4 linked regions of the Saccharomyces cerevisiae S288C genome follow. Changing the gene in region 2 together with the main gene of any one other region gives a genetic interaction. Each region holds a gene or a part of one and is shown on either strand. Other genes may lie near its edges. The genes, in order: GET2, MRC1, SML1 and DDC1.

What was found.
Region 1: mutations in MRC1 (region 2) and GET2 together harm fitness more than expected from each alone (negative genetic interaction), as found in Saccharomyces cerevisiae (6 studies listed by BioGRID, with this or other methods).
Region 3: of MRC1 (region 2) and SML1, a mutation in one rescues a mutant of the other (synthetic rescue), as found in Saccharomyces cerevisiae (7 studies listed by BioGRID, with this or other methods).
Region 4: mutations in MRC1 (region 2) and DDC1 together harm fitness more than expected from each alone (negative genetic interaction), as found in Saccharomyces cerevisiae (9 studies listed by BioGRID, with this or other methods).

What each region holds. Positions count from the first base shown.
Region 1 is NC_001137.3:321,036-328,699, reverse strand, and holds GET2 (GET complex subunit GET2), read left to right. Parts: upstream 1-1,668; coding exon 1,669-2,526; downstream 2,527-7,664. Other genes in the region: threonine ammonia-lyase ILV1, read right to left, coding at 1-223; YER085C (uncharacterized protein), read left to right, coding at 560-1,081; YER084W (uncharacterized protein), read right to left, coding at 1,249-1,635; UTP7 (Utp7p), read left to right, coding at 2,764-4,428; phosphoglycerate dehydrogenase SER3, read right to left, coding at 4,605-6,014; AIM9 (Aim9p), read right to left, coding at 6,854-7,664. UniProt on the Saccharomyces cerevisiae protein: Required for the post-translational delivery of tail-anchored (TA) proteins to the endoplasmic reticulum.
Region 2 is NC_001135.5:15,592-23,831, reverse strand, and holds MRC1 (chromatin-modulating protein MRC1), read left to right. Parts: upstream 1-1,725; coding exon 1,726-5,016; downstream 5,017-8,240. Other genes in the region: ADF1 (Adf1p), read right to left, coding at 1-248; FYV5 (Fyv5p), read left to right, coding at 1-309; ribosome biosynthesis protein KRR1, read left to right, coding at 453-1,403; VAC17 (Vac17p), read right to left, coding at 5,271-6,542; L-serine/L-threonine ammonia-lyase CHA1, read left to right, coding at 6,952-8,034. UniProt on the Saccharomyces cerevisiae protein: Required for normal DNA replication. Phosphorylated in response to DNA replication stress. Phosphorylation allows it to mediate the activation of RAD53.
Region 3 is NC_001145.3:153,242-160,197, forward strand, and holds SML1 (ribonucleotide reductase inhibiting protein SML1), read left to right. Parts: upstream 1-6,141; coding exon 6,142-6,456; downstream 6,457-6,956. Other genes in the region: NTE1 (lysophospholipase), read right to left, coding at 1-5,017; HUG1 (Hug1p), read left to right, coding at 5,519-5,725; CMP2 (calcineurin catalytic subunit A), read left to right, coding at 6,939-6,956. UniProt on the Saccharomyces cerevisiae protein: Strong inhibitor of ribonucleotide reductase (RNR1) and is involved in regulating dNTP production.
Region 4 is NC_001148.4:176,362-182,913, reverse strand, and holds DDC1 (Ddc1p), read right to left. Parts: upstream 3,638-6,552; coding exon 1,799-3,637; downstream 1-1,798. Other genes in the region: pheromone-regulated protein PRM3, read left to right, coding at 1-259; RSA1 (Rsa1p), read right to left, coding at 366-1,511; APL5 (Apl5p), read right to left, coding at 3,893-6,552. UniProt on the Saccharomyces cerevisiae protein: Component of the checkpoint clamp complex involved in the surveillance mechanism that allows the DNA repair pathways to act to restore the integrity of the DNA prior to DNA synthesis or separation of the replicated chromosomes.

The sequences.
Region 1 (7,664 bases), on a different chromosome or scaffold from region 2:
CATCGTATACAGAGGACCTTAAAACTAAACGGACGTAATCAGGGGTGTTATCAGTTTGCAGCTCATCCAATTTCAATTCAGAGTGTAGTTTTATCAAGGAAGGTGACAGGTGTTGTCTGTGCAAATGAGCCTTTAGTCTCAAAAGGTTCAATCCAGACACTTTGGACTGTTTACCTTGCCGAACAACCGTACATAATGGTTGCTTTAGTAGAGTAGCTGACATCACTAACTTTGTGTAATTGACTTAGTTTAAATGTGGCTTGTAGCACTCACACAAGAAAGAACTCAAAGCAGCAACAACAAAAGTTTTCAAAGCTGATAATGAAGTATCTGCAGACATATGTTTGAGATGACTCTTTTTCTTTGATATTTTTTTTTTCTTTTTATGCGATTCCAAATTTGCTACCCGCTGCGCTTTTTCTTTTTGCCCTTCTTATTTTTTCTTTTTCGCGTCAATTAAAATTGAACGTCACAAAATAGCAGAGATAATATGCAATAAAGAGAGAAGAGTTAAAGAGTCTTGGTAGTCAGGAAAAGGTTTTCATATTCATCAGACATAATGAATTTCAAGGAGCCGCTAGTGAATTTTTTAAAATGCGTCTTGAATAACATAAACTCGGCATTTTCGCATAGGATTGATCAATTGCAATTGCAGCTGTTGCGGGAAACAAATATCTTGAGGGTTTTGAACAGGGGAATAGAGAGACTGTTTAGCGAGAATCCAAGGACCCATTCTGTTTCCCGTATCGTGGTGGAAAAAGATGTGGGCTGCAGAATTGGACGATATGTGGAAGGTTCTAAATATGAACTGGTAGAGTCCAGGGCGAAAGAAATACAAATATATTATGAAAGGATGGTTTTTGAAATAACACAAGAATTGAAAGGGGACAAGCGGGTGTTTGCCTTGATTGCAAATCTTTCCCAAAGATATAGCGCAGAGAGGAAAGAAATACGAAATGTAAAGGTGCATGGTGGGCGGCCATGTAATGAGAACGAATTCCAGGTGATTCCGATAAGATTCAAACCTATTAATTTGGAAAGAAGAGCACGACTGATAAGAAAGAAGAAGACTATTAATTAAAAAACTTACATACAAATACATGCCTTACTTTCGATGCCAGCATCTGGAAAGGGAAAGGCAGGGGCAGAGGGACATATTACTTATCTATTTATGCATAATTTGTGTTATATATTGGTATGATAACTTGATGTTAGAGAATGTGCTATTCTGTTTCTTGAAAATCTGAGTTAAGGTTGATACCGCTTTGATACAGCGGGTGTGACAGGTTTATCTGTGACGGTGACAGGGGCAGTAGAACTACTGGAAGCCGCAAAGTCAGAGGATACTGTGAGTGGTGGTGCCCACAACGTGGATGGTCTCAGTTTGACCCTAGGACTTGCAGAAGATCCTGTGGGAAAATCCGGGGAAGGCGGATGGCTACTTGGGTTGAGCATTACTCTCTTTGTGAAAAGGGAGGGAGGGAGAAGTTTGGGGATGAGATGGTTGCTCTTATAACATAAGGTAAATAAAAATTTGGGGTGACCCCGCCGTGCGCGTTTGCTGGGACAAAAGAACAAGAATAGGAACATGAAAAGATTTGAATGATATGGATATGTACAAATGAGCTCTTCCATGTTTGTAGCATCAGCAACGTAGCTCTAGGAAATATGTCTGAATTAACAGAGGCGGAAAAGCGCAGGTTACTAAGGGAAAGGAGACAGAAGAAGTTTAGCAATGGAGGTGCCAGCTCCAGGCTTAATAAAATCACCGGGCAGGCAAGCAGTCATTTGAACGCAGAATCACCTTTAGACGCTCCTAGCGCTGCAAAGACCACACCACCTGCGAGTGTGCATTCGGCTACTCCAGATATCAAAGAAGATAGCAACGTAGCGCCCCAATTGGACCTATTGAAACAGCTCGCTGCCATGCAAGGCCAAGGTACGGGTAAAAGTACCCCTCAGGACTCCTCTACGCCCGATCTACTCTCACTACTAAGTTCTATGAACACTGGCATGCCCAGTGCAGAGGGTACACCATCGTTTGGTCAAGCGGCTCCTGCAGCCCCGATCAATCAAGCTGCTTTGGACTACCATGATTACTTGCTGAACAGACTGAAAGCCTGGACCATTCTTGTGAAGTGGGTCTTTTTCCTACTACCCTATCTATACCTAATCACAAGACCAAATTCCTCTGTGTGGCCGGCCTATGCATTTACTCAATCAGCTTGGTTTGCACCTTTGCGGAACCCATCGAATTTCACTAGAATTTTTGCCACGTTTGAGTTCCTTTCCATATCCATCTACTACCAGCTATTGAAGAATGTGGAACACAAGAGCAAGATTAAAAATTTACAAGATACCAATAAACTTGTCAAGTTAGTTTCACTGGTGCCCGAGGGAGTAATTCCCGTCGCCAACCTGAAGGGGAAGCTAATTACCCTTTTGCAATACTGGGATCTATTGTCCATGCTAATCACTGACATTTCGTTTGTGCTAATTGTCTTAGGCTTATTGACGTACTTATAAATTCTAGATAGTTCAGTAATATAATACATTGTTCTCATAACCCGACATTATTCCCGGCTTTCTTTTCAGGTAATTGAAAAAAAAAGAAAAACGGTAAGAAAATTTTCTAAGCGATGAGTTCGTGAAAAATCGATGTATAGAACTGAATTGGAGTTCAATAGTAAAAAAAAATCCATATATAGCATTAAAAACTCAGTATCCTAGCTTTAAGAAACTGAACCAGATTCCAACGACACAATGGGTCACAAGAAGAACGGTCACAGACGCCAGATAAAAGAAAGAGAAAACCAGAATAAATTTGAACGTTCCACATATACTAATAATGCTAAAAATAATCATACTCAAACAAAGGATAAAAAACTAAGAGCAGGCTTGAAAAAAATAGACGAGCAATATAAAAAGGCGGTATCTTCTGCTGCGGCAACAGATTACCTTTTACCCGAGTCCAATGGTTATTTGGAACCTGAGAATGAGCTAGAAAAGACTTTCAAAGTGCAACAATCGGAAATCAAATCGAGTGTGGATGTCAGTACTGCAAACAAAGCTTTGGATTTATCTTTGAAGGAATTCGGCCCTTATCATATAAAATATGCAAAAAACGGTACGCATCTTTTGATTACTGGCCGCAAAGGTCACGTAGCATCTATGGACTGGAGAAAGGGACAACTTCGTGCTGAGCTGTTTTTGAATGAAACCTGTCACTCAGCGACATATTTGCAAAACGAACAATACTTTGCTGTAGCGCAAAAAAAATATACATTTATTTATGATCACGAAGGTACAGAATTACATCGTTTGAAACAACATATTGAGGCAAGACATTTAGATTTTCTACCATATCATTACCTGCTCGTAACTGCCGGTGAGACAGGTTGGTTGAAGTACCACGATGTTTCCACTGGCCAGTTGGTCTCGGAATTGAGGACCAAAGCTGGGCCAACTATGGCAATGGCACAAAACCCATGGAATGCTGTGATGCATCTAGGTCATTCAAACGGTACAGTATCCCTCTGGTCACCATCCATGCCTGAACCATTAGTAAAATTACTTTCTGCCAGAGGACCAGTGAACAGCATTGCTATCGATAGAAGCGGGTATTACATGGCAACCACAGGGGCTGATAGGTCGATGAAAATTTGGGATATCAGAAACTTCAAGCAACTACATTCTGTGGAAAGCTTACCGACGCCAGGAACAAACGTTTCCATTTCAGATACTGGTCTATTGGCATTATCTAGGGGCCCTCACGTTACGTTGTGGAAGGACGCTTTAAAATTAAGTGGAGACAGTAAACCGTGCTTCGGGTCCATGGGAGGGAACCCACATAGAAACACCCCTTACATGTCACATTTGTTTGCCGGAAACAAAGTAGAAAATTTGGGATTCGTACCATTTGAAGATTTACTAGGTGTAGGCCATCAAACGGGTATTACGAATTTGATTGTACCTGGTGCAGGTGAAGCCAATTACGATGCCTTAGAATTAAACCCATTCGAAACCAAAAAACAAAGACAGGAACAGGAAGTCAGAACCCTATTGAACAAACTGCCAGCAGATACAATTACTTTAGATCCGAATTCCATCGGTTCAGTGGATAAAAGGTCTTCTACCATAAGGTTAAACGCTAAGGATTTGGCGCAAACTACAATGGATGCTAATAATAAAGCCAAAACCAACAGCGACATTCCAGATGTAAAACCTGATGTGAAAGGTAAGAATTCGGGTTTGCGTTCCTTTTTGCGTAAAAAGACTCAAAACGTTATTGATGAAAGAAAATTAAGAGTACAGAAACAACTGGATAAGGAGAAAAATATTCGTAAAAGAAACCACCAAATCAAACAAGGCCTAATTTCAGAAGACCACAAGGATGTCATCGAAGAGGCATTGAGCAGATTCGGCTAAATCGAAATATCTTTAAAAAAAAAACTTAAATGATTATGTATGTATATATAAAATAGATAATCATTATTATTGCCTCAAGCATTCTTCTATCCATTTTTTTTTTGGTTCTTTTTAATATTTTATAGGAAACTTTTAATCATGTTCAAAAAGTTGACAGTATGAGAATCGATTGCATATTAATATAGCAATCTAATTGAGATCTTAGCAGAGGTTTGATTTAGTTGTTCATAAATATCTTTAATATCGCTTTGGTCAACAGAAGAGATATCAGCCATTAAATAAGCAATTTCACCATTTGAATCGGAAAATTGCTTTTCGATGTTATGGTTCGATAAAATATCATTGACGGTCTTCAAAACACCTGGTACATTTTGGTGAATGTATAACACACGCACAGTGTTCTCTTGGTCGTAAGACAATGATTTCAATGCCACTTCTGGGAAGTTGACTGAACCGACAGAGTTACCTTCATTGATGTATTTGGACAATGCGGTAGCCACTTCAATACCGATTGAGCTTTGGGCTTCTTCGGTAGAGCCACCAATGTGTGGTGTCAAGATGATATTTGGTAATGAAACTAATTCAGAAGTCCAGCTATTTAGCTCATCGTTAAATGAACCTTCACCGTTCTTAGCTGGTTCATGTGGATAAACATCCAAAGCAGCACCTGCAATTTTGTTGGCTTTCACGGCTTGGATCAAAGATGGAATGTCCACGACAGTACCTCTTGAAGCATTAATAACATAAGCGCCATCCTTCATAGCAGCAAATTGTGGGGCAGATAACATTTTTTCAGTTTCAGGAGTAGCTGGTACATGTAGTGTCACAAAATCAGATTTATTCAACAATTCATCTAATGTAGAAACTTGTCTGGCAGTACCCAAGGCCATGATAGTTACAATATCGTAGTACAACACATGCAAACCCATAGCTTCTGCAAGAACTGATAATTGGGAACCAATGTGACCGTACCCAATAATACCAAGAGTTTTTCCTCTTACCTCCCAACATCTAGCAGCAACCTTATTCCATGTACCGGTATGTAATTCGATAGATCTATCACCTAGTTGTCTTGCTAAACTAATGATTTCAGCGATGACCAATTCTGCTACTGATCTTGAGTTGGAGAAAGGCGAGTTGAAAACAGCAATACCTCTGCTGGTAGCGTAGTCTAAGTCAACTTGGTTGGTACCGATACAGAAACAACCAATACAAACCAGATTCTTCGCATGTTGTAAGACATTTGAAGTTAATCTAGTCTTTGATCTGATACCAATAGCATGAACGTCCTTGATCTTTTCGATCAACTCTTCCTCGGGCAATGAAGATTTATAGAATTCGACTTGGTAACCTTGCTCTTCGAAGATTGTAATAGCAGTTTGATTAACGTTTTCTAATAGTAAAATCTTCATATCACCCGTTGAGAAAGGCTTCAAAATTTTTGGGTGCTTTACAGCATTCAAGCGCTGTGGAACGGTATTCATGAAAGATTGCGTAGGTGAAGTACAAACAGCGCCTGGGGAGCCGCTCATATTCATAGCTTGTTGAAAGGTATTTTGTAAGTTGTTAATGTCAATGCTTGTCATTGCTGTCGATTTTTCTGTGGTTCTTTATAGAGTTCTGTATTTTTACTAAGATAGTTGACAAGTATCAAAAAGTGAAATAACTAGAAATGGTTCTTCCTTTATATACATAACAGTTTTAAGAATTTCCTTATCCTCTGCTCCCTCCTTCCAACAAAGTAATTACTCATAACTTGGATATTTGTCTGATTTTTTCATCCCGCTCAGAAAACCCTGCACGGGCAGCGTTGCATTTTCTTAATTTTTTTCTCGTGGTAGAAGTCAAGGACAATAAATTGCGAAATTAGGTGGGAACGAGAAGAATAATTAAAGTGCTGAGACCGAAGTTGTTCCCCTTGAATTCCATTTGTGAGTAAATATCGAAAATGGGTCCACAAAAAAAATTAGGTTTTTCTAAAATATTAGGTCCAGCCTAACTGCTTAACCAAATTTTTAATTTGTGATATTTGCACATAGCTTGGCCAAACAAAGGCATTACTCGATTGTGAGTAAAAAACTAAAACAATGTAGATAATCAGGATTAAACAATGGCATTTCTATGGATTTGTTGTTCTCTTTATATATTTGAGGAAAATTCAAAGATAATGGGGAGAAAGGTGGAGATGTATCTCCACCTATCGTAAATTTGAAAGTTCCGCTTTTCCGCCAATTGCACCCAAACATCACGCAACGCTTTTTAAAACGTTATCAATATATCCAATCCAGCATTGTTAAGTTGATTAGTAAATGGAAGAGATTCCATTGTGTACAAAAAAGGGTTTTAACTTGATTATTTTGTTATAACGTTCTATACAGTTGAATGAGGTAAAGAAAACAAAAAAATATTTCATTTTTAGTATAGATTATTTGGTAGCTTCAGGTTGCTTCACGGTGTAGTCTCCGTTCTCTTGCTTAACAATACTGCCGGAATTTAATAGTTGATCAAACATATCTTGAGGAATCCACCCTTGAGTGGCAGCAAATGGTGTAGAGATTAGCTTTTCGTGTAATTTTTGCAAATCCTCAACATGTCTTTCAATATCTTCTTTACTATAGTTTAGAGGAAACTTTTTCTGATTCACTAACTCATTCTGGGCAAAGATGTCCCAAACTTCCTTCAATTGCAATAGTGATTCATCAATAAGTAAATACTCTTCTTCCGTTTTTCTTTCGACAGCTGCAATATATGGGCTTCTCAGTAGCTTAACAGGTGGGGCAACTGCAGTAATTAATTTAGGATTATTGTCATTTAATTTTTTCTCCCATTGATGTTGATTACGGGTGCGCTTGTACATGAACTGATATTGCACCTTTTCCGCCTCAGATAATTTGTCAAAATCGGTTATGTCCTCCTTTAAGTCATAAATCTTGGGCCCATCATAGGCGATGAATTGTGGCGAATTCTGTAAAATGAAAGGTTTTGTGCATGCTCCTTCAAAATCTAATAGATAGGCTTCTTGTGCTTCTTTGTTAACAATAATATTCATGGGGTCTAGATCAGGATGAAACAAACGTGGTGACAATAGTTCCTGCATATTTGGAATGGCCTTTGTTTTGACGTTGAATAAATCCGGGGCAATCTTAGCTAAATTTTCATAGGTAGTTATTTGCTCCTTCAAAGTTCGAGGATACATCAATTCAGCTGAACTTCCTGCCTCTTTCATGGCTATTCTA
Region 2 (8,240 bases):
TCCTTTTCCTGGTCCTTGATCAGCTCCTCGGCTTTCAAAGTAGTCTCAGCTTTCAGTTTAGCTGGCTCTTGTGTACTTGCCTCCCGCAGCAGCGTCGGTATCATTGTTTCACTACTTTTGTTTAACTTTTCCACTTGTAACTTTGTTCTCTTCCTTTCAGCGGTGCTGATCGACCTCTTTTTTTGTACTTTCTTGCCAACACCAACATTCTTGCCCACACCTTTCTTTTTCATGCTACACTTGCCCATTTTTTCCTTGCTAAATGCCCTTGAGTTATTGTACCTTATTATAGCAGGCTTGCACATCTGAAAACGAAAATTTTTTTTTCCTTATATTTCTAATTCTTTTAGCGATGAGATATGAAAATTTTCAAAAAAAAGAGATGATGAGGTTAACTATTGTAAAGTAGACAGCAAACAAAAGGGTCACACAAATATCCAAATTGGCAAACGATGGTGTCTACACATAACAGAGATAAACCTTGGGATACGGATGATATTGATAAATGGAAGATAGAGGAGTTTAAGGAAGAGGATAACGCATCCGGTCAACCTTTTGCTGAAGAGTCCAGTTTTATGACTTTGTTTCCTAAATACAGAGAAAGTTACTTGAAGACGATTTGGAATGATGTAACAAGGGCTCTAGACAAACACAACATAGCGTGTGTTCTAGATTTAGTCGAAGGTTCTATGACAGTAAAAACAACTAGAAAAACATACGATCCCGCTATCATTTTGAAAGCCAGAGATTTGATCAAATTATTGGCGAGATCCGTTCCTTTCCCGCAAGCCGTTAAGATCCTACAAGATGACATGGCATGCGACGTTATTAAAATTGGTAATTTCGTTACTAACAAAGAAAGGTTTGTCAAGAGAAGACAACGTCTTGTAGGCCCTAACGGTAATACTTTAAAGGCTTTGGAACTTCTAACTAAATGTTACATTCTAGTACAAGGTAACACAGTAAGTGCCATGGGTCCCTTCAAGGGCTTGAAGGAGGTCCGTCGAGTAGTAGAAGATTGTATGAAAAATATTCACCCTATCTATCATATCAAGGAATTAATGATAAAAAGAGAATTGGCAAAAAGGCCAGAGTTAGCCAATGAAGATTGGTCAAGATTCTTGCCCATGTTTAAGAAGAGGAATGTGGCCAGAAAGAAACCCAAGAAGATCAGAAACGTCGAAAAGAAGGTCTATACTCCATTTCCTCCTGCCCAATTGCCTAGAAAGGTTGATTTGGAAATTGAAAGTGGTGAGTATTTCTTAAGCAAGAGAGAAAAGCAAATGAAGAAATTAAATGAGCAAAAGGAAAAGCAAATGGAAAGAGAAATCGAAAGGCAGGAAGAGAGAGCAAAAGATTTCATAGCTCCGGAAGAAGAAGCATACAAGCCAAACCAAAATTAGTTTACACCGCTACGGAATCCTTCATATATGTCTATATATATATAGAAACACACACACATTTCGTTTACTTAGATATGTTTGTAAAGTGAAAGAAATTCTTACTAGGACACCAACTCTACTGGCTCTCATATGCAGAGAGATATACATCAATACTTGAAATTTTCCTTATCCTTCTTCGACGCGTCATGAAGAGATAGAATGCGTAAAACGCGTTTGCTTCAATAGCATTTCAAACACATTATGTTGGAAAAAAACCAAGAACAGACAAACAACTAAGGAAGTTCGTTATTCGCTTTTGAACTTATCACCAAATATTTTAGTGATGGATGATGCCTTGCATGCTTTGTCCTCGTTGACTGCAAAGAAGAGAACTACCACCTACAAAAAAGTTGCTGTTCCCATACTAGATGAGAACGATAATACTAATGGAAATGGGCCCAATGACATAGACAATCCGCCAGAGTTGACTGGGAACGGGTTTTTATTTGCCAATGCCACATTAAATCGTGTTAAGAACAGATTAGAAGGCAAGAAAGCACCCGAACAGAATCACAATAATGGAAAAGATAGGAGTGAGAATTCGTTACCAACTCAATTAATCTCTAATCTTTACGATGGTGGTGAAGAGCTGGAGAAATCCGAAGTTAAAGATAATAGTTACAGTGAGAAAAATGTCTCTTCTTCATTCACGCAGACGCAAAGAATACCTGTCAGCATCCAACAAGACAAGGTGTTTAACGTACCTATCCATTCCGTTAATGACGGGAAACCCACCCAATTAATCAAAGAAGATGGTCTCGTCAACGAAACTTCTCAAGCGCTGAAAACACCTCTCACGACAGGACGGCCAGGGGCTACACAGCGTATAGATAGCAGCGGTGCAACCTCACAAACTCAGCCTATAAAATCAATTGAACCACAATCCCAAATAATTACGACTTCCAGCAATCATTCTAATGCTCTGTCGCCGAAAATTCCTATAATTCCAACGGAACTTATTGGAACTAGTCCTTTATTTCAGTCCATTCAAAATCGTGGTCCTGACACCCAAATGGATGTACCACCACAGACTGCGCATGATGAGGATAAGACACAAGCAATTGGTATTCCACAGGCTACGCATCAGGAACAGAAAACCCAAATAGATACAGTCGCACAAACACTTCAAGATGAAGTACCACACACATTAAAAATTCGGGAAATACAAAGCGAATTGGCTTCAGAAGATTCTAAAAGGGAAAAAGCTAGAAATGTCGAATACAAAAAACCGCAAAAGCCAATACCAACCAAAAAATTTTTTTCTAAAGAGTCTTTTCTTGCTGATTTTGACGATTCGTCCTCAAATGAGGACGATGATATAAAGCTGGAAAATGCACATCCAAAACCAGTACAGAATGACGATGAACTGCATGAGAACAAAAGTGTTGAATTAAATCTAACTGATGAGACAAGAATAAATGAGAAAAGGGTTCCACTATTGAGCTCCTATGCTAATAATTTGAAACGGGAAATTGACTCCTCGAAATGCATAACACTGGACCTCGACAGCGACAGTGACGAATATGGAGATGATGATATGGATAGCATTAAATTATCCAAAGATGAAAGCGTTTTGCCAATCTCTCAGTTATCAAAGGCGACTATATTAAACCTGAAGGCAAGACTCTCTAAACAAAATCAAAAGTTGTCTCAAAGGCCGAATAAAAGTAAAGACCCAAAAGTTGATCATAATGTACTATTAAATACCTTAAGGAAAGCTAGCAGGAAACAAATTCTGGATCATCAGAAAGAAGTGATTGAAACGAAAGGTCTGAAGCTGGAGGATATGGCCAAAGAAAAGGAAATAGTAGAGAACTTGCTAGAACAAGAAATTCTTAGAAATAAAAGAATCAGACAAAAAGAGAAGAGAAGGGAAAAACTTGAAGAAAATGACTTTCAATTGAACGCCCATGATTCCGGTTCTGACTCAGGGTCAGAGTCTTCTGGATTTGCATTGAGTGGTAATGAAATTGCCGATTATGAATCATCTGGTAGTGAAAATGACAATCGTAGAGAATCCGATAGTGAAAAGGAAGATGATGAAATTATTCTAAAGCAAAAAAAATCCCACCACGTGAAACATATCATTAACGAATCAGACTCTGATACCGAAGTCGAAGCCAAACCCAAAGAGAAAGCTGATGAAAGTCTACCGAAAAGGATCGCCATTAATCTGGGCCATTACGGTGATAATATCGGAGAGGATACCGACAAATTTCAAGAAACCAATGTTCTAGATACACAAAACATTGAAGAGGTGATGGCCGAAAGAAATACAATCGAAAATGAAGTCAAAGATGATGTATACGTCAATGAAGAAGCTGATGAAGCAATTCGCCGTCAGCTGATTGACAAAGAGAAATTGCAACTAAAACAGAAAGAAAAGGAGCACGAGGCTAAGATAAAAGAGTTGAAGAAAAGAGGTGTCACAAACTTCTTTGAAATGGAAGCCGAAGAATCCGAGGATGAATGGCATGGTATCGGTGGTGCAGATGGAGAAGGATCTGACGACTATGATTCTGACCTAGAAAAAATGATCGATGATTATTCCAAGAACAATTTCAATCCTCATGAAATCAGAGAAATGCTTGCCGCAGAAAATAAGGAAATGGATATCAAAATGATAAACAAAATTCTTTATGACATTAAAAATGGAGGATTTCGTAATAAAAGAGCAAAAAATAGCTTAGAGCTAGAACTAAGTGATGATGATGAAGACGACGTACTACAACAATATCGTCTCAAAAGGAGAGAATTGATGAGAAAAAGGAGATTAGAAATTGGCGATGATGCAAAGCTTGTTAAAAACCCAAAGTCGAGCGCATTTTTTGAAAGTATGGTGGAAGATATTATCGAATATAAAAACCCCTTCGGGGCTGAAGAGGAATATAACCTAGACATTACAAGTACGGCTACTGACCTAGATACTCAGGACAATAGCATTAATGTAGGTGATAATACGGGAAATAATGAACAGAAACCTGTAGATCAAAAGAACAAAAAGGTTATCATATCTGAAGACTTTGTGCAGAAAAGCTTATCCTTCCTAAAAAGTAATAATTATGAGGATTTTGAAACGGATAAGGAGCTATCAAGGATACAACATGGCAATGATGAAGCAATTGAAGATTTATATACCCTAAAACAGAATAGTTCGATAAAGTCATTCACAAATTCTCAAACTGATTCGACCACTTCAAAAACAGTAAACACAATAATTGACTTAGAAAAGCGCCCAGAGGATGAAGATGAGGTGGAAAATGGAGATACATCACTAGTTGGCGTTTTCAAACATCCATCAATAATCAAATCCTTTGCGTCCAGAACAGACATAAATGATAAGTTTAAAGAAGGTAACAAGACAGTCAAGATTCTAAAGTCTTACAAGACAGTGGGGAGTTCAAAAGCTTCTATCACATATATGGGGAAAACGAGAAAATTAATAGCACCAAAGAGGAAAACTGAAGGGAGCCACCGCTACCACCATGACCATCATAATAAAAAAATGAAAATGAAAACGAAAACAAAATCGAATAAACTTTTTGAAAGCGGACAAGATAGCTTTGATAATTAGTGGTTTTTTATCTTTTCCGAAGAAGTTGATTGAACTCCAGAAGCTGTCTTGAAGTAGTCGCATTAAAAAAGATGGCACCCGAGTCTAGGCCAAGCCATAGTCATGTTATGATAGGATTTTATAAGACAAATATTATAAAGAAGTTTAATAATAATACAAAAAGATACAAAAAAACTTGAAGATATTCTGAATAAAAAAAAAAAGAATAAACATTTGGAGCAAAAGAAGAGTAGGTTAGGTAAAGGAGGCATTAATTAAAACAGCAGTTCTGTATTCAAAGCATCTTGCAATTCTTCTATAGAGACGCTTATATCCATATTATTTTTTTGTTCCTGTGCTACATTATGATTTGATATTCGTTCTTCATTCATGCCCTTATTCTTTCTCCCCCTCTTACTTTGAAAAGATTCTGATATTGTGCTTAACGATGAATTAAACTTATCCATAAAAGATGCATGCTTAAGATTTGTGTTGTTCTCTTTTACCGTATGTGTATCTGATCGTGCAATGAATGATGATAACAACGCCTTAGAACTTGAAATACGAGGACCATTACGACTAGGAGCCATTGTCGCTGCAACAGTTGGATGACAGTTCACTTGGACATTTGATATCGAAGTTCCAAACGTCGGATTAGATGGCCTGAAGAATGAGGCGGAGAAACTTCCCAGATTGAGCGACTTAGAAGGTGCTGGTTTGTTAGATAGTATACTTTCGTGAGAGTTATATCTCCTTAAAGGTTCGAATTCAGCACCCTTTGCGGTCACACCAACATGTGGAGGGGTACTTATGTTTGGTAGAATGATAGTATCTTGATCAGAATCAAAATCTTCATCATCCATTTCATCAAAGAAGGTCAACGAAAGTCTTTGTCTATTTTTGAAGAAAGACTCATACGTATCCGAGGAAGACGGTTTCTTACTTTTGTTCAAGCCAGTATCATGTGATTTGGCTGCACGTAAAGTGCGATTTCTTGCAGGTTGTTTTTTAGGTGAGCACGGTAAAGAGTTAGTTTTCGAAGGACAATCGACTTCATTGATGGGGTTAAAGCCTACCGATTTTTTTGGTGGTTTCGATGGAGTTACCATACACAGACGTTGCCTCTCAATTATTTTCAATGGTCGAGGTTGAAATGACCCTAAACTACTTCTGGTGGATTGCGATTGTGGAGAATCATTAGGCGCTTCATTTGGGACGGTGGCCAGCTCGTTCAACCTCAAAGTGATATCCTGGAATTCACGAACCAAGTCTTCTATGCGTTGATGCTCATTATCCTCTGTGATCAATCTGCGTTGTTGTTCCTTGCTCAACTTGTCTCGAACAGATTCCGATCTAACATACAAAGAGTTCAGTTGAGACATATACTGGTTGTACTGTTGGGATAACTTATCCAATGACTCTTGATCTGTTGTCTGGCATATTGATGATCTCTGCTGACGTTGTATCCACAGATCTAATTGCAAGATAGCCTCTTGCGACCTTATTAAAAGCCTCTCCGTGATATCCTCTAGGGCTTGGGTTGCCATTAATCGATGTGTCCTTGTTTCCTTATGCGAGCTGTTTCTTATCTATCTTATGGTCCCATTCTTTACTGCACTGTTTACATTTTGATCAATTGCGAAATGTTCCTACTATTTTTCTTTTTCTCTTTTCGCGAGTACTAATCACCGCGAACGGAAACTAATGAGTCCTCTGCGCGGAGACATGATTCCGCATGGGCGGCTCCTGTTAAGCCCCAGCGGAAATGTAATTCCACTGAGTGTCATTAAATAGTGCCAAAGCTTTATCAAATTGTTTGCGATGAGATAAGATAAAAGGGACAATATGAGGAGGAACACAGGTATATAAATATCGCCAAATAAAAGGAAAATGTTTATACAGTTTTCTCTTTTTTAAGTGCTGGATAGACAAGAGACAGGAAAATTAACCAGCGAGATGTCGATAGTCTACAATAAAACACCATTATTACGTCAATTCTTCCCCGGAAAGGCTTCTGCACAATTTTTCTTGAAATATGAATGCCTTCAACCAAGTGGCTCCTTCAAAAGTAGAGGAATCGGTAATCTCATCATGAAAAGTGCCATTCGAATTCAAAAGGACGGTAAAAGATCTCCTCAGGTTTTCGCTAGTTCTGGCGGTAATGCCGGTTTTGCTGCTGCAACAGCATGTCAAAGACTGTCTCTACCATGTACAGTCGTGGTTCCTACAGCGACAAAGAAGAGAATGGTAGATAAAATCAGGAACACCGGTGCCCAGGTTATCGTGAGTGGTGCCTACTGGAAAGAAGCAGATACTTTTTTAAAAACAAATGTCATGAATAAAATAGACTCTCAGGTCATTGAGCCCATTTATGTTCATCCCTTCGATAATCCGGATATTTGGGAAGGACATTCATCTATGATAGATGAAATAGTACAAGATTTGAAATCGCAACATATTTCCGTGAATAAGGTTAAAGGCATAGTATGCAGCGTTGGTGGAGGTGGTTTATACAATGGTATTATTCAAGGTTTGGAAAGGTATGGTTTAGCTGATAGGATCCCTATTGTGGGGGTGGAAACGAATGGATGTCATGTTTTCAATACTTCTTTGAAAATAGGCCAACCAGTTCAATTCAAGAAGATAACAAGTATTGCTACTTCTCTAGGAACGGCCGTGATCTCTAATCAAACTTTCGAATACGCTCGCAAATACAACACCAGATCCGTTGTAATAGAGGACAAAGATGTTATTGAAACCTGTCTTAAATATACACATCAATTCAATATGGTGATTGAACCGGCATGTGGCGCCGCATTGCATTTGGGTTACAACACTAAGATCCTAGAAAATGCACTGGGCTCAAAATTAGCTGCGGATGACATTGTGATAATTATTGCTTGTGGCGGCTCCTCTAATACTATAAAGGACTTGGAAGAAGCGTTGGATAGCATGAGAAAAAAAGACACTCCTGTAATAGAAGTCGCTGACAATTTCATATTTCCAGAAAAAAATATTGTGAATTTAAAAAGTGCTTGAAAATCCAATAACTTTTTCGTTGAAGCATCAATTTGCCCTTGATAATTTTCATACATGTACTACATACATTTTACTCATATATCACTATTTTGCTAGTATTGATTTTTTCCAGAAGTATTAGTGTAAGATTTCTCGAAGTAAGCATCAACATATCCAAAACGTTGACATATTTCTAGGCCGGCAATGCACAGAATTTGTATAAAGGG
Region 3 (6,956 bases), on a different chromosome or scaffold from region 2:
ATAAAAACTCAGGAACTTGAGAATTCAAAGTGGTTTCTTGTGAACCAGGTATATATGGCATCTTGTCGTCGTCAATAAGCCCTTGCAAAAAGATACGACCATAGTCTACACCCACATGATAAATTTCTTCGAACTTGCTAAAGTCTAATGTGGCATATTCTTCAATAGGTGGTCTCACATAAACGACACCTGGTGTATTTTTCGCTTTCTCTAAAGCATTTACTGATGCGACGTAACCCAATCTAACTTGAATCTCTGCCATATTGGGTATGTTTGGATGAGAAGAAAATGGATTCCATCTATTGAAAATGATCCAAAACCCATTTAGGGAGTCACCATATTCCATAGGCGTTCTATCATCTGCAGAACCTACATCTACTGCAAATATAGTTTGGCAACCACGCGCTCTCATCTCAGTTACTGGTAAATTATCAACATAACCACCATCCAGTAACATAGACCCGTTCTCTTCCAAAGGAGGTAAAAGACCAGCAAGAGACATCGAAGCTCTGATGTACCTCCACGCATAACCAAAGGAATGTATTTCTTGAACCGAATCGGTTATATTAGTAGAATTACAATAATACTGGATCCAGAAGTCTTCAATTCTTGTATCCCCGAAAGTTTTCCAAATACCTCTATTAAATTCGTGACCAGTAGTATAAGAAGTAACCGGCCAGGTTAAATCTGTTAACATTCTCCATATAGAGGAAATTCGACCAGCAAACTTCTTCACGCGGCCGTAAATTGGCACCAAATCATAATCCTTCGCGTACAAACCGCCAACAAAGGAACCAATCGATGTTCCTCCAATAACGTCGACCGGAATACCTTGTTCTTCAATAGCTTGAATGACACCCAAATGACTAATACCTCTCGCACCTCCTCCTCCGAGGACAAGTCCAATAGCTTGTCCAGAAAGAATTCTAGCCAATCTTAGAAAATCATTTTTATGCCTATGAACTGGTGTGTAATATTGTCTTTTACTTTTCATGAATCTTGAAGAAAAGTTTTCTACGGTGTTCTTGATAGAATCTGGAAGTAGTTTTGATATATTCTGTTGAGTTTTTCTACTGAATTCTGTTTGAATCAACTTATCCATTAATGCCAAGGCACCATTATTCAAAACGTGCATTTTGCCTTCGTTCATCAAGGTTGTTCCTGTCAAACTAAATTGAATGTGATGATGCGAATGAACCCATGGCCTATAGCGTAACCACTTATGGGTTAGTCCTGGTTCCACATACCTTTCAGGGTGTAGAAGAATTAACTCGGTCCTTGCGGTAGTCTTTGAATTTAGTAATAACTTTTCATATTCTCCTATTTCGGCTGATGGAGATCTAGCATCTGCTAGTAAGAGAATACAATCACCTTGCGCAATACAGGTTCTTGTCCAATTAGATTTAACTGGTGTATCTGATATATAAACAACAGTCTGGTACATTTCTTCTAGTTCAGCAAAGTAACCACTTTGTTTTAATTTGGACAATCTGTCAAATGCATGACGACCTAAATGTGTTAGGGTAGTTCTTTGATTTAAACCAATCGTGGTCCTTCCTACCTGTTTGAAAGCTTGCACTAACTTCATAGCAAATGCTTCTACAGGTAGTCCACTGGTAATTGGTAAGATAGTGATGGTTCTAAAAGTAATTGTGCCAGAAGTAATATTTTGGGGTTTATGACTTAAAGAGCTAGAGTAAGACGCTTTCGTTGGAGGTATTAAAGAAGTGAAGTCGTTTTCCTTTATAGATAATGGATCGCCTGTTAATGCTGGAACAGTTCTATCTCCGACAATTTTTTTAGCAACTAATCTGGAAACTCTAATCATGATAGATGGATGTTCAAGAGCTAATAGTTCGAATAATGTTCTCGGAATTCTCGCTAATTCAGAATCCCTCACTGCCACTATCGTTGAATATCTATTCATAGCGGTAAGCACTTCAACTTCACCAAAACTCTCCCCCTGGGCCAGTTCTCCTAGAATAATGTTCTGAGTTTCAACTTCTTCGGAACTTGTATTGGAGTTTGACAATGACTGCTGTTGTAGCTGCCTTAGTCTACCATTCAGGACAACATAAATACCGTTAGCCGAGTCACCTTGTGAAAATAGAGTTTCAGAAGCCCTCAAGTGAACCCATTCTAAAGCATGGTCGAGCTTTAATAACCTTGAAGATAGCAATTTGGTTAATGAATCAGAAATCCGTAAGTAGATTAGGAAATATTTATCAAACAATCTTTCTAAGGTTGCACTAGATAAAAATCCAACATAGACATCGCTCTTGGCAACGATATTAACAAATGATTTGTAACCAATTAGAGAGGACAAGTAGCCCACAATACCACCAGATCCTACAGAGTATAACAAATGTTGAGTATGATGAGGATTTTCACCCTTGTGTGAACTTTGGGCTGAAACCTGCTCTGGTTTAGACATTGATGATACTACTGACGAGGACGAATTTGTTGTCACATTAACTTTCCCGGAAATGATATAGAATAGGCCTTTACCACGAGCGTTCTGCTCAACAATTGTGGTGCCCTTTTTAAAGAACTTCAACTGAATGCCTTGTGCAAAGTCTTTCTTGACATCTTCGAAATCCAAATTGGGTGTCAACTCCTCTTTGTAAGCTCTAGGTTTTTTTTTGTCCTGGCTTTTACTTTTATTATGCCTTTTATTGCTGATAGTGTATTCTTTGGGTAGGATTCTTAACATTGTCGGTTGAGTTTGAGGAGAGGCAAATGATGAAGCTACGGAAATGTCAGATGGTGTACAGTGAGGGGACATCAGAAAACTTGCGTTACTTGGACGGCGGCTATACATTTCATTAAGTTGAGGAGAGTTTAAAGAAGACATATTTGCTATCGAAGAAGATGAAACGGACATATTGCTTTTGTTTACACCCAAGTATGTTAACATTGCCTCAACTAAAGCCATTCTTAAAGCAGAGTCCTCGGTTTCTTCCTGGGCAGCAGAAAAGGATGTTGTGGGCAGTAAATTAGGTCTTGGAGAGACCCGTCCCTTCAAATGAACGGGACTTGGGTGGATATGGTCATGAACAGAAGTATTATCCAAGGACAAGGGCGATGTACTAAGTTGTGCGTTGCGCAATTCTGGGGACAAAGAAGAAAACTTCTTAGAGTGTACGGAAGCATTGTTACTGCTACTCCTAGAAGATCGCTTATGTTGGTTAGAGGTAGAAGTGTTAATACCGTTTGATTTATTGCGGTTGTTATTATGGATTGGGTTGGGTGACAGAATATCCATAGTTCTAGACAGTGGGACATTTGACAGTAAATCACCAGGATTAAATTGGTCTCTTGAACCCAGTACGACATGTCTCGAACTTGGATGGTGGGTGAATTCTGGTTTCAGTGAAAGGGAATTCGAACTTGTGTTAGCGTTGGCGTTAGCAATCTTAAGCGATTGAATGATACCATCAGATGGCTTCGCTTTGGGCGGTTTCTTCAATTTAGAGGAAGCATTACTATTTTTGGGTTTCGGTTCTAAATCAGCCGATCCGCTCGACTTATCTACAGTTTTAAACTTACGAATAACGGCCTCTTTCAAATAATAAGGCAATTCATAAACGATGGATTTATTTAGTAAAACTTCGATATCCATGATCTCCTTTGTTAAACCTAAGTAGTCGTGAGCAGTTTGGAACGTAACATGGTATAGCTTGGTGAGAACCATCTGTATGATATGGGAAGCAGACCGTGGGTATTTTGCGGTTAATTTGGCAAACGATTGAGGTGGGATAATACCAATTGTGCAGTCTGTAGCCGCACGGGCGACAAGTTTAGGCATTGAAGAGGGGAACGTTGGAAAGCTGTTGGTGGAGTTTGTCATGGAATCTGTGTTGGAGAAGTTCTGCTCTGATGAGCAGAACATATTGTTGACCGACACCGTTGTGTCTATAGGTGACGATAACTCAGAGGGAAAGTTACTGTTGCCATACGAGGACATGGAATGCGTGAATAAGTTTAAAATGCTCACGAGGGAGGTCAGCGGGTTTCCTGGCTTGACTGTATTTAGCAGTTGAAAATTTCCCAGTCCATTTTTCAGATGAATGTAACCAACGGATTCATCTTCTTCATCGATGAGGTTAGAAGAACAAGATTTGGTGTCGTAGTTATCAATGTCATCATCTTCTTCTTCGTCTTCTTCATCTCTATCCTGGTCGTCAAGACCATCCGTGTCACTGTGGTCAGTTTCATCGCCATGGTCCTTATCTGAATGATCTACTTCATGATATAACTGCAGGGTGCCTTCAACGACGATGGCAAACCCAATAGTACTGTCCAACAGTAAAATCTCACCCTCATCCATTTTTTGAGTTTTCATATTCTTGGTCAGGTCATGGAAGACTGGTTTTTCCAGATAGCCAAAGATTTTGATGGCGCTGAGAAATTGGTCAAGGTAAGATGAAAGAAAGGTTTCGTTTTCGTTGCCATCTTTCAATGAATGCTTTTTTGAGTCTATAATCGAGCTTGCACCCGTGGTAGAGGAACCTATGGCGGGTGGCGCGTTGGCTGACTGAGTGGAAGCTGCATTGATATTGGCGCTGGAGCCAGATTTACCTGTATTTTCCAGCGGCAAGAACTCCGGGGTCAGCCTCTTGTACTGGGATAGAATTCTCTCCTTCATGATGGTGTAAGTCACAAAGACTATGACGGCTAGGGCAAACAGGATCAGCCAAAAGGAAAGAGTGAACTGAACATGGTGTAACTTGAAGAAGATCCACTTCGGAATCCTTAAAAGCGATAAAGTTGCCAGATACCAACCGTACCTGAAGATCATACGAGAGGCACCCATAACAAAGTAGGACACAACCCACGAGAAGTTGAAGAGGGATGAAAGTGACCACGTCTGCGCCTCAGAAATAATCTGGTCGGTGAGACATGTCTGGAATCTATAAGAAGTATAATTACTGGAATTAAAGCTGGAGCCAAGACTGTTTTTCGTGTTTTGGCCGGTATTGTTGGTGTTGTTCGTAGTGCAATTCATTGAACGCATGCAAAAACTAGAGCCAAGCCTTTCTATTCTTTTCTTGTTTATTTTATATTCGTTAGAGTTTTGTGGTGTTTCTTTAACTTAATAAACTTTCGAGAAAAGTGTCAAGTTTCCCAGATTTTTAAGATCCTTATAACCTGTAAAAAAAAAAAAAAAAAAAAAAAAGAAGGGTTTAAATAAAAATCGGACTTACTCAAAGGGTTGAAAAGCACTTTAATATAGGTTTTTAGTTTCGGGTAAGAAGATGTGTCAAAGGTCTCGAAAAGGAAACATTAGGGCAAATACGTAAAGGTTGCCTTCGTATCTCGTTTCCACAGCAACGAGAAACGAGATACGAAGGCAACTGATTCCCAGCATATAAAAGGCCATGAATTTTTGGCGTTTCCTATTGTCTTTTCGAAACTATTTCTTTCATTCCTTTCCTTTCTTGTTCTTTTACTTATAAGAAAAATAATATACGTATATATATAACTACAAACCACATCAGCAATAAAAAAAAACTATATGACCATGGACCAAGGCCTTAACCCAAAGCAATTCTTCCTTGACGATGTCGTCCTACAAGACACTTTGTGCTCAATGAGCAACCGTGTCAACAAGAGTGTCAAGACCGGCTACTTATTCCCCAAGGATCACGTTCCTTCTGCCAACATCATTGCCGTCGAACGTCGCGGCGGTCTTTCTGACATTGGTAAGAATACTTCCAACTAAGAGCATGCTTCTCTTTTTTTTTGTAGGCCAATGATAGGAAAGAACAATAGATTATAAATACGTCAGAATATAGTAGATATGTTTTTATGTTTAGACCTCGTACATAGGAATAATTGACGTTTTTTTTTGGCCAACATTTGAAATTTTTTTTTGTTACCTCGCGCTGAGCCCAAACGGGCTCCACTACCCGCCGCGGTCGCCATTTTGGGAAGTCATCCGTCCCAAAAAGGAAATAGCCATAACATATCGTTACTGTTTTGGAACATCGCCCGTTTCGCCCGATTCCGCCTCAGCGGGTATAAAAAGAGATCTTTTTTTTTCCTGGCTGTCCCTTCCCATTTTTAAATGTCTTATCTGCTCCTTTGTGATCTTACGGTCTCACTAACCTCTCTTCAACTGCTCAATAATTTCCCGCTATGCAAAATTCCCAAGACTACTTTTACGCTCAAAATCGCTGCCAACAACAACAAGCCCCTTCCACATTGCGTACCGTGACCATGGCGGAATTTAGAAGGGTGCCTTTGCCACCTATGGCTGAGGTTCCTATGTTGTCTACTCAAAACTCCATGGGCAGCTCCGCTTCTGCCTCCGCTTCTTCATTAGAAATGTGGGAAAAGGATTTGGAGGAGAGACTCAACTCTATCGATCATGACATGAACAACAACAAATTTGGTTCTGGCGAACTAAAATCTATGTTCAACCAGGGTAAGGTCGAGGAAATGGACTTCTAAAGTTCCTTTCATACTCTTTTCTTTTCTCTTTCCATTTCCCACTAGTTCTGTTCTTTTCTTCTCTTAGATACCCTTCTTTTCAGGGACTCTCGTCCTACTATTGTTGTCATTCTCGAAACATTCTCTCCCGTGCATTTTCCTTTCCCTTTATATACATATATATATATATATATATATATGTCTCTTCTACGTATTTTTGTATTTCTGTGTCTTTATCAAAGATAGTCTATAATACGTTTGATACAGCTAGATATCGCTAGCGCCAACATTGTCCCCCTCTCTTGATCAATGCTTTTTTTCGGCCCGAGACAAATGAGAAAATGTCCTAAAAATACCTTTCATCAAGACTCCTATTTTTCCTTAGAAAAAACATATATCCAACTGGAACAGTATTAAGCCAATTGCTACGATACAAACAAAAGGAGATATTCCTTCCCTCCCATAGAGTCACACAGGAGCCAGTACTTCTTCTTGAACCCGCAATGTCTTCAGACGCTATA
Region 4 (6,552 bases), on a different chromosome or scaffold from region 2:
ACCGCTTAATAAAAAGTCATTAGTTAATAATGAACAACACATTAAGAAGGCTGTGTCGCCTGGTAGAGTCAGGAAGCACAAAACGACAACATCTTCCACAAAATCACGAACGAAAAGTAAGAAAAAAGACGCTTCTGAAAGTAAAGTACAGAGAGAGAATAAGGGTTCATTTTACCAAGGTGCCATTTTCGGTTCGTTCCTTGGTGCTGCTGTAACTACTGTTTTAAGTAACCTAGCAGTTAAAGCTCTTCAAAATTAGTTTCATATACTCATGATTTCTAAACAGTAATTAGTTTTATCTGACTTATTTTTTTTTACGCACCTTTGCATGTACTCTTCCATGTATATCAATATTTGCTATTCTATTACTTATTTCTAGTAAAGTTGGCTCTACTCAGATTAGGTTTCCTGTTTTTGTAATTTGGTTTGTAATGATTTTTATTATTATCTTCAGAGCTCCCAAAAAGTACATCTTTTTCTTGTTGAGATAGCTCATATTCAAGTAATCCTACATCTCCCAATTCTCTTATAAAGTCCAAAAGTTGGGAGTTTTCGTTTGCGAATTCTCGCTGTATCAATTTCAAGTTCAAGTCAATCTTCGGATTTCCTCTCTGCACTTGATTTTGAATACTCTGTATAAATTGCTTTTCTTTCCTTGACTCTTTGAAAATGCTAGGTTGGCTCTTCAGTTCATCTTCCTTTATGCCCATTTCTTGCATATGTTTCTGTTTGTTATTGGATATTTTCAGTAGCCACATTTTTTTTCTTTCTTCTCTCCACTTTTTAACATCTTCATCAGTAATCAATGCTATGGAGGTTCCAGGAACCAAAACCACCTTACCCAACCCCTCTGATTCTAACTGCTCATCACGATCATCATCTTCTAGCCCTAAGTTATTATGATCATCTTCGGCATTAGAATTTGCCAGCTCGGGATCCTTTCTTGGGATTTCTGTAGGCTCCGCAGATGCTTGATCCTTGCTTGATGGTACTGGACTTATTTCATTCATAAACGTATCTTTCCCTCTGTTTTTCTCAATCAATTGTATTTCCTTTACGGTCGGTATTGCAACATCTTCATAACTAATTGATGTTTGGTAATCTTTATCATTCTTTAAGGCTTGAGTGTTTTCACAATATGATGATGGCCACTTCTGTAAATTAAGCGCTGGTGCATAAGATATATTCTGATGAACTGGCGGTATGTAATTTTCTGTATAATTGGGAGGACTCGTATAATTGTACTGAGTGGACGGTTGTATTGGATGGAAATATTGATTATGAGGGGCTACATGATGAAGTTGAGGAGTATAACCGGTATTCCATGAACCTTCATAATACGGAGAGTTCGGATACATATGAGGTGAGTAAGCTGCATTAAAAGCAGAGTCTGTTTTTTGCCTTTTAATTTTCGATTCATCATAGCCATCTGATAGCGTTCCGGAGTATGTAGGTTTGGGAAGCCTAGAATGTCCATCACCCTTCGAATTTTCAAAGTTATTATAATTCATAGTCCATGTCGCAATAAGCTAATCAAAATGGAAAAAGAGATTGACTTATGAGTTAAATATAATAGCATCAATGAAATTTTTAAGTTCCTATTAAGTAAAAAGCTATGCAATATAGAGATATTATGCTATTGAAAATTTTAGTTTGTTCCCCGACCGTGATGGACCATCAGCCGCACGCTCACCAAATTGAGACAGAAAAAAAAAAAAAAACAGCGATCGATATTATCATGATAATTGCTACTTCATCTAATATTTACACGCCTTTATACTGATTTTGCATTATGGTTTTAGTCAAATATACCCCTTGGCTTTTCTACTTGTGTTAGACCCAGCCCATCTTCCATCTCTTTATTGTCCTGTTTCTTGTGATTACTTGTGTCATTCTGGGAATTCAACAGACCTTGCATATGCTTCAATTTTTCTTTCTTGAGCATTCCTTTTCTATCGATATTGCTGCATGAAACCTCATCATCTGCAGCTGGTAACGCTTTTCCCCATGTCACAGTGGTGTCTGCCCTTTTTGCAAATGTAGATTGTTGGGTGGGGTCTTCAGTTTCATTACAAATATCTGCTATGGATCTTTTTAAAGAATTGCTCTCATTACGTGGACAGGCCACTTCATGAGTCGTACCAATGTCAAAACTTTGTTCCCGATTCATGTTCATATGAACTGAACTAGCCTGCCGGAACCGCTTATCTTGTTCGTAATTCGTACTTTGGCTTTGTTCTTCCACGAATAATTTTCTTGCCGTGTTATTTCTATAGGTCTTAGCAACTGTGCTTCCATTATCAGGGGTCAGATACGACACTTTCAAAGGACTGTTTCGAGTTCCAGCCACAGAGTGTGGCAGGTTTTCTCTCTTTAAAGCAGTTTTGCTTTTTAATGGACTTTCGCAGCTTTCTTTGTTGTCTTTCAGTCCGGCCTCTTCTTTGGAGCCAGAGATTGCTGTTTTTATGAATTTTCCTTCTAAAATATCATCGTTAATGTTACTGTCAGTAACTTCAACCAATTCTAATTTTACGCCCGGTTTTTGCATTTGCATAAGAATAGGGTCCCCTGGGTGGCAAAACCATAAACTTATATTATCATTTCCGTCCTGGGTAGTCTTCCAGGATGGACCTATCGTTATGAAGTTTTTGAAGTCCTTCAATTTGAATATTATACTTTTCATATGCTCTCTACGCTTACTATGTGATCGCTTATCTTGTTTTTCATCTTCGATTGTTGTAAATAAGCAATAATGCTCAAGATCGAGCGTACTGATAGTGTTACTCATGCTTAACGCATTTCTTAAAAGGTCGTTATTTTTGCCGTAGACGGCCTTGGTGAATGCAGTTATGCTTAGCCTATGTACGTTAATTTCCAATTTTACTTCATCGGTTACATTAACATTGCAGTTGTCTAAAAAATTCTTCAATAAAGTTGAATTACAACAAATGTAATTAATCTCATCAGCAGCCGTTAACTGATTCCTTTTACGTATGTCTGATTCCACTTCTTCGTTAAATAAGGCTGATGTTAGCTCACGCTCTGTATTTGTAAAAACGTCCAATAGCTTAGGGTCCAAGGGCTCCTGTGGATTCCGATCGGAGGCAGCAGTTCCAAAAACATCCAAAAACCTCCTTTTGTACTTAAGGTTGATTATTATGGGATCGTATTTTATTGGCTGGAATTGGGGACAGTATTCTTTGACTATTAACGAATCCATTTCAATCACCACAATCAATCTATTTGCAAGTGATTCAGGACAGGTAGAAGTGTTGTTTACCGCAATTGTGAATGATTTGATGCCATCACCATCCGGCTTTCTTGATATAGTTGTTAGGTGTCTTCCATTAACACGGAAGGAGTATAACTTATGACTATTGCCGTACGTATCTTCTATAACTTGAACCCCATTTTCTCCAAATACAATCTCATGTGGTTTAAACTCATACTCCTCAAAAAAGCTTTTCTGAAACCTAACCTGACAAAGAGTAGTATCTGTCTCGTTCATTGACCAAGCAATTAACTCATTTGTTGTCACTGTAATCTTGATATCATCCTGAATTGTAGATAACACATATATCGCACGAAACCAGATATTCTGCTTCCCCGACTCGGTGATAGTTGCCTTAAATGACATATATGTCTAAGCAAAGTTATGCTGTGTTATTGTTACACTAGCAATAGTATGTCAAATAATTTTGCAAATCATCTCTGGTCTATGATTACCTTTGGCGGCCTTTGATTCATTCGCGTCATTATTAAATATGCCGTCTCTTTCGGCAAATTGAGTGCACCGCAATAATATACTATGCAGAATAAAATACTTAAATTAATTATAGTTTACGTACGTAATCGCTGTCATTGAGAATTCACGACTTCGATTTTTTTATCGTTAAATGTCAGTGCTTTGGTCTCGAAGAAATTCATTTGGTTCTGGAGAATTTTTTGCTTTCGTTTTTAGTTTGTTTTTTGACTTTGACTTTTTCCCTTTCTTCTTCTTTTTTATAACTATAACTTCTTCAGTATCACTTAAATTATCCTTTTCATCTTTTACAATAAGATTGGCCTCTAAACGACTTAATTCTAACTCGTCTTCCTTTCTAAGGTTGCCCTCTTCCTGCGATCCTCTTCCTGCGTTACTCGATTGCCCAAAATTGGAAAAATCAAAATTTTCAAGTTGAGAGTGCATTCTCAGATTAATCTTGTCCTTTTTCAAAGGATTTTGAGTTGAATGATTATCATGGGGTTTCTGGAATGCATCTTTCCTTTTGGGAGCGGCTTCGATAACAGGTTCATCGGATAAGACTTGAACCCTATTTTTCTTCTTTCCCTTCTTCTTCTTTCTGCTGATTTCAGTTGTAGATAAACTTAGAGAATTCAACGAATTATCGGTTCTATTTAATCTAATAGTTTCTGGCTTTTTATCACTACTTTCCTCCTCATTCAAGTCCAACAAATCTTTAGAGTTCTTAGTTCTTTCTTCGTCTTCTTCACCTAGATAATAAGGATTTGACATCCGTTCCTTTTCTCTCTCAATCTCAAATGGATTTTCAAAATCATCCAATTTTTCCTTTTCTTCATACGAAGTATCAGAATCATCAACGAATTTTAGTTCAACTTGCTCGTCCATTGAGATATCAGACATTAAATCACTGATGGCGTCACTTTTTTGTTCATCTAAGAGTTCATCAGCTGCCTCCTTTGTCAAAAATGGAGTTTCTAGATCAAGATTCTCATCTACTGCTAACTTCAATTGAGTCCCACGCGCAATTGGTGCGAGTTCATAGGCGTTAAAAAAACTAGGCAGGACTTCGCTCAGTAGCATTGGTAGACCTTCCGTATCCTCCTCTAAAGCCTCCAAACTTAGTCTTAAAAATTCTAAAACTTCTACGCTTCTTTCCTGGACTTCGAATGTACTCGAATAAGATAAATTTTCAAAAAATTCAATTAGCTCTTTTAACACCATTTTAATTTCAAAGCGTTTATCCTCCTGAAAGTTATTACACCAATTACTAAATACTTTAACAAGTGCTAAAATTAAAACTTCTTGTACACTATGAGAATAATAACTGATATTCTCAGTCATGATTTTTATTAAGTCGTTACCATTTTCAACTAGGGTAGAAAATTCTCCGAGACACCAAATGCATTCTCTCAATACGGTAGGCAACTGTTTGTTAATATTGTCATTTGAAATAAGCTTTATAATATTAGCAATGGTTACTTCTCTCATTGAAGGAACTTTTATCATCAAATTCCTAAACTGTTCACCAATTTTTGATCCAAGGCTTTTATCAGATATGTCTTGACAGAGCATCGCCAAGTCCATTATTACTGCATTGTACCATTCAAAGTCGTTAACACTGGAATAGTTGTCAGCTGAACAAATCGATATAATGACGTTCACCATTTTTATCTTGTAATTTTCTGGAATTATTATGGGAATTCTCTTTGATTTTTCGTATACGATGCTTCCAGTTTGTAGGATAACCACATCTTCATCTACAAATTGCTTCATCAATGTTTGGACAATTGCCTTTAAGTTATCCTCATCAACAATACCTTCAACCAATTCAATTGCTTTTGATCTTATAGAAACGTCGACATCGGAGAGTAAGCGTATAATCAGTTGGTCGAACCGAGAAATAAAATCAGTATTGATTTTGCCGATCTTGTAAAACAATATGCAGCTAATATATCTCAAATTTGGATCCTGAGAATCACAAAATGTGTGCAATCTTTCCAGGCATGCCATTGCTGTTTCAAAATCATCTTCTTCTAGCATATTCCCCTTGACAATACAGTTGACAGATTCATAGATCACAGAAGTTGCAACAGTACTCTCCATCAGTTCTAAAATTTTCGGCAATAACTTGGCTCTCAATTTCGGTTCCACTTGTGATAAGTTGGTGAATAACTTCAATAATCTAATGATTATCCAGTTATTGTCAATGGTAACTAATATCTCGTATAATAAAGGTGAAAGCTGGATGAATGGTTGGGGGTTTTTTTTTGATAGCTCGCAAATAACACTGACAGCGGCAGAAACCACAGATATATCATCATCGTCTAGCTTTGAAACAAACTTATCAAAATTATCTCTCAAAGCCTCTGGATATTGCAGAAAAACTTTAAATAGTGCGGTAATGGCCTTCTTTCTTATGTACGGTCTTGTGCTGTTTAGCATAGTGAACAAATCATCAGCTATATCTCTTGCTAATGAGGGTGTAATTATAGTGGAAAGACCACTTAAAGCAATGCCAACTTTAACAACATCATTGTTTCCGTCATACTTTAAGTCTTTTTTCAACAAGTTAGTTGCAAGCATCAAAATGTCAGAATCTTTGTAAAAAGATTGTGATGCAGCCAAATACCCCACACGTTTTTGTTGAAGTTTATTACTGCTCATAACCTCTAAGATATGAAAGTTGCACCAAGCCATGTCAAAACCGTACATCTCTAAATAGGTCAATTTAAGAACGGCATTGGTCTTAGAATTTAGATCTGGAGAGTTCACTTCTTCCCGGCATTCACTTAATACTTGTTTAAAGA